Xenopus tropicalis: one gene and its partner. The protein of the gene in region 2 purifies or fractionates together with the protein of the main gene of each other region. This does not show direct contact. Links are inferred from orthologs where the notes say so. Each region holds a gene or a part of one and is shown on either strand. Other genes may lie near its edges.

The links. The genes of interacting proteins can lie anywhere in the genome.
Region 1: the proteins of tmem259 (region 2) and srprb purify together in Homo sapiens (affinity purification with mass spectrometry; 3 studies listed by BioGRID and IntAct, counting the BioPlex papers as one, with this or other methods). This does not show direct contact. The link is inferred for Xenopus tropicalis from reciprocal best matches to the Homo sapiens genes TMEM259 and SRPRB.

Annotation. Positions count from the first base shown.
Region 1 is NC_030681.2:129,996,585-130,002,344, reverse strand, and holds the end of srprb (signal recognition particle receptor subunit beta), read right to left. Parts: intron 4,979-5,760; coding exon 4,896-4,978; intron 4,307-4,895; coding exon 4,170-4,306; intron 2,965-4,169; coding exon 2,910-2,964; intron 2,651-2,909; coding exon 2,437-2,650; 3' UTR 1,570-2,436; downstream 1-1,569. UniProt on the Homo sapiens protein: Component of the signal recognition particle (SRP) complex receptor (SR). Ensures, in conjunction with the SRP complex, the correct targeting of the nascent secretory proteins to the endoplasmic reticulum membrane system.
Region 2 is NC_030677.2:100,353,503-100,359,109, reverse strand, and holds the start of tmem259 (membralin), read right to left. Parts: upstream 3,502-5,607; 5' UTR 3,371-3,501; intron 3,082-3,370; 5' UTR 3,050-3,081; coding exon 2,852-3,049; intron 1-2,851. UniProt on the Homo sapiens protein: May have a role in the ERAD pathway required for clearance of misfolded proteins in the endoplasmic reticulum (ER). Promotes survival of motor neurons, probably by protecting against ER stress.

The sequences.
Region 1 (5,760 bases), on a different chromosome or scaffold from region 2:
CAAGGCCAAGGGCTCTCAGCTTGTATTTAGGGAAAAGACTCAATATTAAACAGACACGTATAGGGGACTGCAGTTTATGTGGCATAGAGCCTGTATGGTCTCATGTACTGTACAAGGATGGAATCAGATCAGCATTGAATTCTAAACTGCCCATTGCAACCTTTCAATTCTTTTCAATCTGGTCACACATTAGCACAGTTTACATGAGAATAGATCTTCATCATAGTCCCTTTAGTACACTGATCCCCAAACTGTGAGGCTGGCCCCCTGGGGGCATGGAGTCTCAGCCAGAAGACCAACTGGAATGAAATTTGGGGAGAATGGCCATTTACTCTGCTAGATGCCCTTGAAAGCTCAGTGTAAAGTTAATTTAGGGTGTGGATATGTATTTCCTGTTCTGCATATTCTTACAACTATGACTGATACACCGACAACTTAGATTTGCAGCCAGTTCATGAGATAAGGGCACCCTGACCAAATGTTGGACCTTCAAGTAGGGAAAGAAACAGACTGCTTGACAACCACTGCTGCAGGTGTGACCCAGGGGCCATGCTTATATATAGTATTGTAGCCTTTTGATATATGGCGGTGATACATTCAACAAGCAGAACCTCCCTAGCAGAAAGCTCATAGTTGCAGTGGTTGTTGCCAATGCCTTTTGATAACTGGTTATTGAAAGATTATAGATAAACCGGTCATGACGCTGGGTTCATAAGAAAGGAATTGGAAGGCCTATACTGTTACACAAAGCTAATGATAGTTACTGGGGGCAGTAAGGACTCATGTAATGATGGGCTTCTTGTCTTGCTTTTTTGCATAATCATGGCTGAAAGTTCTTCTGTGTTTGTACATACCTTGTATGTATCATGAGGAAGGGCACGCAATATTAAAAATGAGTGCAGAAGAGTGCTGAGCTTGTTCTTATAATATATAACTTAAGGCAGAATTAAAAACAGTTTACCCCAAAATGTACTTTTAGCACTATATAAGCAATCATTTCTAAGATAGAATAGCTTCATTGAAAGATGATCAGCAAAGCACTTGATAAGGTAGATCACAATGCAGAGTCCAAGAGTGCCTCAACATTTTGCTTTAGCACCTTATATAATTTTCTGATTCTTGCTTTTGTTCCCTCTTTTTCTAACTCTTGTTATTTTCTGATCCAAAATGTTGTTTTCTCTTTAATTATTTTCTTTGTTTTTTTTTTTTTTTTTAACTCCCATCTCCCATTCTTTTTTTCCCCCAGTCCTTCTTTTGACTTCTCTTCAGGTGTCCACTTCATCTATTTTCTTTTTCTCTCATGACCACACTTGTGCTCTCCTTTTCCCCTTATATTCTGTTAGAATTCTCTCTGCCTTGCAATTCTCTTGTATTCACCCCCCCAGAAAAAGCAATACTAACGCAATGTGCTTTCAAAACAGCACAATACATGAGATACAAATTGACACCATATTTTGATTCCTCTACAGTGCACTTAAACTGGCAGTTTAAAAAGATTTATATGTACTGCCTAGTTTCTAGGATTGCTGACCCTAGTCATGAGAGTAATGACAAAAAAGAAAGACAAAGCAGACTGAAGAAGTTTTAAAAAGAATAAAACAAAGAGGGATGGCAAAATAAATAAATAAAAAAACATAGCAATAAACTGAAGGTGAACTTCCACTTTAATACTGATTTATTTGAAAGTTCAAATTCAAAATAAATATATGTCCCTAGAGCAGGGGTTCCCAGCCTTTCTTACTAGTGAGTAACAGCCAAATGTAAAAAGACTTGGAGAGCAACTAAAGCATTATAAAAGTTCATGAAGGTGCCAAATAAGGGCTAAGATTGGCTATTAGGCAGTCTCTATCAGCTTACAGGAGGCTTTATTTGGGAGTAAATCTTGTTTTTATTAAACCAAAACTTGCCACTAAGTCAGGAATTCAAAAATAACTACCTGGTTTGGGGGCACTGAGCGCAAGATCCAAGGGGTTGGTGAGCAACATGTTGCCCCTGAGCCACTGGTTGGTGGCACAACACAACCTGTGGTCCTCCAGATGTCTAAACATGTACCTAACGTCCATGCCAAAGGCTGTAAATGGTACAGTGGAAGTTGTAGCTAGACAAAGGCTGGAGAAATACAGGTTGCTCTGCATTAACCATTCCCTCAGCACAGAATGGGAGGTGGAAATCCAGCATGTAAGGAATTCATTACATTTTGGTTATTGTTCAAGTGACATGGAGTACAAGAGCTGACAAAATAGACACTGTTTCCTCAGAGCTGCACGTTTCTTTTGTCTAAAGCATAGTAAGAAAGCGGCAGCCTCACCAATGCAGCAGTCATGAACAAGGCACCAACCAAATAAGGGTTTCCCTTACGAGTCAAGATGCAGAAAAATCCATTCAATGTTTCATCATCTTAGCACCTGTGTCCTTGTACAACTTGGGAAAAGTTTCTCAAACCAGCTTCGCCAGCCAGCCCTCAACATTACTGATATTGGCATCACCGTCCTCTTCTTTACTGTCCCGAGTGCTGCATTCCAGGAATTTTACCTTCATAGGCAACTGGGTAAAATCAAAGTCTTTGCCTTTCTTCCCAAGCTGCGTGACGCCAGAGTTTCCACTCTCCAAGATGCTAGGGGCAGCTGAGCGGGTGACACGAAGAGTGTTCCTATTAAACAGAAAGAAGGAAAAGAGACTTGTATATAAAAATATCAGCATATATAATAGAGCAATATGCTGCAGCGTATCACAAGCCTCTCTGGCAGTGAGAAGCACAGCCCCATTTAGGATGTTACTAGACATTATGCAAAACATTGCACTGTGCTAAATATTTAATAGGCATTATGTGCAATGCAAAAAACTATTAATTTGTATGACCAATGTATGCTTTGAATGAATTTCCCCCAGAGTGATTTATCGTTACTTACAGCTCTTTCTCCAGCTGCTGCTGTATAAGTTTGGCAGATTTGGCCATTGAAATATCTGTGAGAATATTAAGACATAAATTAATGGCTGCAGACAAAAGTTGCAGGGCTTCAAGCATACAAATAATAGTCTACCAAGAAAATGTTAAAGGACAAACAGGACATGCAGGAGAACTCAAATTAAAACAAAACATTTAAGGAATTCTACTGTCCAGTGCACAAGTACTGTATGTATATTAATAGAGATAGATTGATAGATATAGATATACAGTCACATGAAAGTTTGGAGATTAAAGGGGAGCACCACAAGGAGCTGAATTAAAAAAAAAGGCAATCTTTATTCAATCATGTGTAAAATAAAAAAAAGAGGACACATGTACATCCAAAGGACCTGTGCTTTATGCGTTTCGTGGTGTCCCACCACTTCCTCAGAAGCACAAGGGGAGATTAGTTGGTCACAGTTAAATCTCCGCTCCCACAGGTGCCTAAACTTTCCAAAATACCTTCCCACCAGCTGTTCTCTTTATTGCCAGTGGAAAGGAATTTCAGGAAGAGGCGGTGCCCGTGGAAGCGAAGATTAACCATGGGTGACTTATCTCCTCATGTGCCATGACACTAAAGGATGAAGAGAGTACTTCTAGGGCTCATTTATCAAGGCTGGGCAAATTTGCATATTGTAATCAAACATGTTTTTCCTTTCACTGCTTTAATCACAGCAGAGACAGTCAAGTAGATTAGCCATGATTGTTTAAAGGAACAGTAACACCACAAAATGAAAGAGCTTTAAAGTAATAAAAATATAATAAACTGTTGCCCTGCACTGGTAAAACTGGTGTGTTTGCTACAGTAACACTACTATAATTTATATAATAAGCTGCTGTGTAGCCACGGGGGCAGCCATTCAAGCTGGAAAAAAGGAGAAAAGGCACAGGTTACATAGCAGATAACAGATAAGTTATATAGAATACAATAGTGTTTTATCTGTTATCTGCTATGTGTCTGTGCCTTTTCTCCTTTGAATGGCTGCCTCCATGGCTACATAGCAGCTTATTTATATAAATTATAGTAGACTTTCTGAAGTAAACACACAACTTTTACCAGTGCAGGGCAGCAGCACATTATAGTTTAGTTACTTTTACACACTTTCATTTTTTGGTGTTACTGTTCCTTTAATATGGGTTACTGCCCAGGTGCAGCTTTGCCCAGCTTTAATAAATGAGCCCCCTAAAAGCCTGTGTATAAATATCGGAGAGAGGCACATACCTTGCTTATTGCACGCAATAAGTATTGGTGGCACATTTTTCAGTATTGCAACATCTGTCAAAAGTTGGTAAAAAAGCTCTGCCACCTCCTTCACCTCACGCTGGAACGCGGAACTGTCCACTACAAACAGCAATGCCCTGAAACAAATGTAAATTATACTGTTTTATCCTTAATGCCTTTTGTAAGAATATTTAGGCCGCTTAACAAGTCTCTCATTTTCTGAACAAATCCTACTCTAGGCTATTGCTCCGTTACATTTTTGAAATTTGCATAGACATTTAACCAAAGACTTTAATATTTTGTAGAGACACATTTAGCCAGTTACATATTTTATTCATTTGGGTTAAGTATGTACACTGCCATTTCATCTATGTAATGTGAGCTTATAAAAAATGTTTGTACCATAACGGGGAGAGCTACACGCCATTGTCCATGGATGAATATGGGCAATAGCCAGGGAGAGTCTCACTTGCACTAATAGTGGTTTGAATGGCAGGCTGGAAGATGAATAGTTAGGAGCTGATCAGAAAAATGAGGAATAGATAATAGCACTTTATGTTTTAGCACCTGATAAATGCAATAAACTGCACAAAATATATAGAAAATGGACCAACTGCAAATTGCCTCAGAGTATCAGAGCTAACTTTAACATTTGTGTGTCTTTTATGCCTGTCCCTAACGAATCAAATAGCATACATGCTCCAAGACTGTACTTATAGGTTATACCTTGCTGATGCTTTATATTGCTCCAGGAACTGAAGCCTCAAACTTTCATGGCCAGGGAGGTCAACAAGCGTCAAACTGGAACCCTTTGGGAGAAAAAAAAAAAAATCAAAAGGTAAAATGGTCAAAATGTTGTTAATTATTTATTGTCTGTGGGATAAAAGTAGTTCATGGAATAACATGTTTTCTTGCACACACTGCTCACATTAGATATGAGGAACTGGAGCTCACCATGTCCACAAACATCTCCAAGCCATAGTCCTCTATTATACAAGAAAAGATGCATGCAGATTCTTTGGATGGCCAAACAAAGCTTTAATGCATTTATTCCATGAATGCAAAGAAAACCACACCTAACAGAAGGGTCCCCCCTGAAAGCTTATATGCGGCTTTTGTTTGGTCCACCAAAAAATCCGAGTGTCTCTACAGTACTGTTAAGTCTTCTTTCAAATACTGTAAAACACCTGTATGCATCTAATTCTTTCCAGCAAACAGGAATGAAAATAAACACACCTCCATCTGAAACCAACACCTTAGCAATGCTAACACAAATGCGGATAAAAACAGTTAAAAAGAACGTTGGCTTTAGAGCAATAAAGGCTAAGTACAACCAAGTCACAAAGACTTAGCGGCAAAGAAGCTGCACTAACACCCTCTCTGGGCTCCAAAATACCAGAACAGGAATATTATATATATTATTATGGGACACTGGGCAGGTAAAGGAACAACAAGTCCCACAATCCTTCACTTTTGAGCAAGAAACATGTTGGGGTAGAGAAAAGGCTTTGGTGCTCTGAGGGGTGGGTATGTGTGAGTCAGGGGCACATCTACATTTGCCAAGGTTTCACATGGTTTTCTCTCACAGGGA
Region 2 (5,607 bases):
ACAGTAACACTACTATAATTTATATAATAAGCTACTGTGTAGCCACGGGGGCAGCCATTCAAGTTGGAAAAAAGGAGAAAAGGCACAGGTTACATAGCGGATAACAGATAAGTTCTGTAGAATACAATAGTGTTTTATCTGTTATCTGCTATGTGCCTGTGCCTTTTCTCCTTTGAATGGCTGCCCCCAATGGCTACACAGCAGCTTATTTATATAAATTATAGTAGACTTTCTGAAGCAAACACACAACTTTTACCAGTGCAGGGCAGCAGCACATTATATTTTAGTTACTTTTATACACTTTCATTTTTTGGTGTTACTGTTCCTTTAATCTCTGTGTATTTATTCTTATTTATTGTATTTATTATAACACTTGTCCTCCCTGTGTGTAATTGTGCACTGCGTATCCTTGTAGAGTTTTATAAATAAAGTTATACATACAATTCTAGATCAAAGTTTGGCTAGCAGTATAGCAGATGTATGGTGCTCAAGAAAGTAAGTGGAAAATGTTTTTTATTTATTTGGTTTCTTATATCCATTGTGTCAGCAGGTACCAAGGGTTAGGGTATGTCGCTAACAATCTGAAGGAAGGAAACCATAAAAACGCCCACTTTCTCCTGCTGCAGATTATACAGGCAAGCAGAGACAGGACGAAAAGTATCACAATATCTAGCCTACTTAAAGGGGCTGTTCAACTTTGAGTTATCTTTTAGTAACTGTTAGTTATTTTTTATTATTTGTAGTTTAATTATTTCAGTTTTTGCTTAGCAGCCCTGTTTGGAGTTTTAGCAGCTATTTGGTTGCTACAATTGAAATTACCTTAGCAACCAGGGTGTGGTTTGAATGAATGAAAGACTAAGGAGACTAGGAGAGGACTTGAATAGAAAAATAAATACTAAAAAAGTAGCAATAACAATTAAACTGAAGTTTCACAAAGCAATAGTTTTTTGGCTGTGGGGATCAGTGACCCCTGTTTAAAATCTGCAAAGAGTTAGAAGTAGGAGACAAATAATTAAAAAACTATACATAATAAATAATGAAGACCAATTGAAAAGTTGCTCTGAAGTGGCCGCTCTATAACATACTAAAAGTTAACTTAAAAGGTAAACCACCCCTTTAAACACTAAGTGAGAAAGTACATTACTTTTTTTCACATTTTGTCAGAGCAGACCAACAAGAATTTCTGGTGTCTATAATATAAATCTGCTAAACTGAACTCCAATTCCTATATGCCCCTGAGGCCTAAAGAAAGCTATATATTGACCTTATATTTTTCCATGATAGTTGGCTTACCCTAGCAAAATATTTATTTTATTCCTAATTTTTATTGGCAAAAAGAAAAGAAATTTGGCAGACCTACAAAAACTTTCAGATCCATCTGGATAAAAGGTCAATGGTCAGAGCTAAAAATGCAAAAGCAAAGATCTGATTGGTTGCTATAATTAAGCCCATTGAACAGTTTAGAACCTGTTAGTAGTTTATCTAGGAGTTCTTGGCCTCTTGGCGACTGACATTGTTTGCAGTGTATTTTTAGGCATTTTGTTTCAACAATAGAAGCACATTTTCAGACAAAAAAAAGTCTCATTTCATATTGACCTTAGTCATTTCACAAAAACAAAATATATTTAGTAACTGAAAACTGCTCAGCGCTTACCCCTTATCAGAAGTACATACAGATGAAAAGTAAATAATAAGATAGAACAGGAATTATAGCATCCCTTCAAATTAAATTTGTTTAATCTCCCCCAAGATGTCACAAAGCTTGGATATTCGTAAAGGGTCACGAGAATGCTTTTATATTATGAGTTGTTAAGGGTACTGTTTGATTTATCAATAGCATTAACTTTATACAAAGAAAGAAGGCTCTATCTAATGCATGTAAAGTGGTATAAATGAAAATTTACAAAAGAGAGGCCACTAAGTTCTCAATTTTTCTGCAAGAAAGTGCACCACCATTTGCCTTCTCTGCTCTAGACCAAAAGCCTGTGCATATAGGCCAAAAACAATACAAAATGTATTTAATCTCACAGTAGCCCTGTTGGAAAAAACTTGTGACTTTAACAGAAAAACTCCAAAAGGTAACACTGATATTAATATTATAAGAGATATATGGCCTATCCGAATTTCTAAAACAATGGAACTCTAAAAAGTATACAGGTATAGCACCCATTATCCAGAATGCTCGGGACCAAGGGTATTCCAGATAAGGGGTCTTTCTGTAATTTGGATCTCCATACCTTAAGTCTACTAAAGAACAAATAAAACATTAATTTTACCCTATGTGATTGTTTTACATCCAATAAGGATTATTTATATCTTAGTTGGGATCAAGTACAAGATACTGTTTTATTACTACAGAGAAAAAGGATATCAGTTTTAAAATTTTGAATTATTTGATTAAAATGGAGTCTATGGGAGACGGGCATTCCGTAATTCGGGGCTTTCTGGATAATGGGTTTCCGGATAAGGGATCCCATACCTTTATATGACTTAACAATTTACATGACAAAAATACATGTTAGAAAGAAAAGCGATATATCAAACAAAAGGGCCACTACTTTGATTGCATTTATACAGCACTGATAACCTCTGAAATGCTGTGGAAAAGTGTAACCACCATTTACATTAGTCCCTGCCCCAGAGAAGCTTGCAATCTAGGGTCGCTACCACATTCACACAAACTAGGGTCAGTTTTATCGGAATCCAATTAACCTGCCTGTATGTTATCAAAGTGTGGGAGATGGTAGAGTACATGGAAGAAACCCCAAGCAGATACAAGGAGAACTTTTCACACTGTCACAGTAGTTTTGTCACCAAGGAAAAAAAAAAACCAAAACGCCTTTCTTATTACCTTCAGAAGTACAAAGAACTCAAATATTCTGCGAAAGGAAGGGGGGAACAGTCTTGCGTAGGTCACAGCCATCTTGAAGAACAATGCATGGAAGAGACGATCTCGAACATTAATCAAGGGATTCTGATTCAGGTTAGGAGTTCGAACACGGTTGCCATTAGCGTTATTGAGAGGAATATTACCCTGGTTCTCAGACATCTTGATGATGGTTTGGGGGTAAGCAAAGGTGCCTGTACACAAAGCAAAAGTCATCCTTATCACATATGTCCAAGCAATAATAAACACACATGGTGTATGTGTACACGTAACCTAGACGGATATATTTATAAATAAAACGCACAGACATCAATGTTAATGTGCGGTGAGATTATCAATGTGGGTGCAGGGTAGACTTATTTCTTTCCATATGGCTGCACAAGGATATCACAGTGTATTGACTTATTTTCTATGGCTAAAGACAAGGACATGCGTTTATAAACCTGTGCTAAGGCCATTTAGGGGCAGTACAGTTATACTTACTGTACTTTATCGCATACCGCCCAAAAGTCCCACTTTTGCCGGGACAATCCCGGTCTTCTTAGCAAAGTCCGCAGTCCCGGTTCGCTGTTTAAAAGTCCCGCAGCGCCGTTAACGTCTAGCTCCTTGACTCCTGCCGGACAGCTAATCCAGACGTCACAAGCCTCATCTCGCGATAACGGTGACGTCACGGTGAACGTATATATAAGCGTACGGACGCTATACGTTGTCTCCGTGGGGGAGTGACAGGCTAGGTCGAGGTGGTTTAGTGTCTGGCAACTACAAACAGTAAGGCGCTATGCGCTGTGCTGGCTCAAGCAATAGGGGGCCGGTGGTTCACAATTTTTATTTTCTCTTCCGCTCTTACAAGTTATACGTATCAATAGTTTATCAGAAGTCTTTTTGTTTTGCCCCCAGTATCTTCTATCAGAAAGTTAAAAAAAAACTTTTTTGAGAGCAAAATATACTTACTGTTTTTTGGGTTTTTTTGCTGCGCTCACATTATCTTCTTTTCCAGGGCAAATACATGTAAACACCAAAAACAAAACCATTGCAACAAATCCATTTGTTAATCGCCTTGTGCCAGGATGCAAAAAAAATAATCTTTTTTTTTTTCTTTGACTTGCATTTTATTTTTTCTCTGGTGTTTACTGGCAATCAGTGTTGGACTGGGATGCCAGGGGCCCACCAGAAAACCTTAGCCCATGGGCCCACGCTCTCCAAACTATTTTTCACCCATTTCTTACTCAGTCTCTATATTTTCATAGTGTTTTTTATCTTTACATACTATAATCTATTCTATATATTTAGTTGCTTTGTTCCCATAGAAAAATAAGCAATGACCATGAATTAGGCCAAATAGCTAGAAGCTGGGGGGCCCACTGGCACCTGGGCCCACCGGGAATTTTCCTGGTATCCCTGTGGGCCAGCCCGAGACTGCTGGCAATACTTGCTTTCGCTCCAAATATTTGACCAAAAAGTAATAAACATTTTTTCTCTGCTCAAAGCTTTGATTTGTGCAGTGAACAAGTCACCTTATTCCTGTTTGCCAACAATACACACAGCCACTAGATCCACTACTACTGTAGCAGCAGAGATTTTATGTTTAAAAGGGACGTGTGAAAAACAATATCGTGCCAACAAATTGTACTCATCTAAATATAAAGGAAATGCTTTAAAAAAAGTAGTGTTTCGGTCGGAAACTTTGGACGACTACAGGCTTCAGGAGTGCGCATGCGCATAAACGGCAGAGCGAGAAGACAACGGTGGGCGTCCCCGCACCGGAGGAGGCGGCGGGCGTCCCCGCCGCCCCACTAGACTACCAGGTATTGTTACATTCTTGTCTGTGGGATGGCATTTCGAGATTAGTCACCCACAATAGCGAAGATTTATCGGGGGCAAGTAAACTCGTCGTGTGCTACCTCCCTTAGTGTGTACTATGGAGAACGAAGCCAGTATTGCTGGTAGATCATCAGTACCTGATTTCCAATTTTTAAAAGAGTCTTTGGAGGAGCAAATTTTATTGACAGTAACTGGCCAACTAAATACATTACCCACTATTTTTATCTTTTATGATACCATCTAACTCTGTTGGTGATGAGATGCATATTATAGTACAGAGCAGATGAGCCCTTTTAAATATACATTTATATATTTATATTATTTTGTATTTGTAATTTAGACCCCTTACATTAAGCAATCAATATTAAATATTATTTGTACTGATTCCATAATAAATAATTCTAACTATCCTTATACCAGATACATATTTTTGTTAAAATACCAACAATATGCCTCTTAGCTCAGAAACTGTTACATAAGAATGGAACCATAAATATAGGCTTGATTAAAGGAGACATATTGGATAACTAAAAAAACCCTAATCTTGTAACAGCCCTGTAGACACACAAGCAAAGACAGGCTTCAGTTCCCTATCAGGTCAGCATGGCAGCTGAGTGATTCCTATCCTATAGTGCAGTGTGATGAGTGCTGCCAGCCCCCATGCACATCCAGATAATTCAGCCAGCAGGAAGTGGAACAGATGGGTGGGCCCATTAAAATATGCGGATGAAAGGCTCAAGTGACATCATGTTGAATTAGTTGCTGTTTCTTTTCTGTAATTATAAATTGAAGGTTTCTTATGGATTTTATATATTTCATATTTTAATTTTAAATGTATATCATGTACATTAAAGATATTTTAACAAGTACCTCAATATAGCAAAAAATAAAGGGAAGAG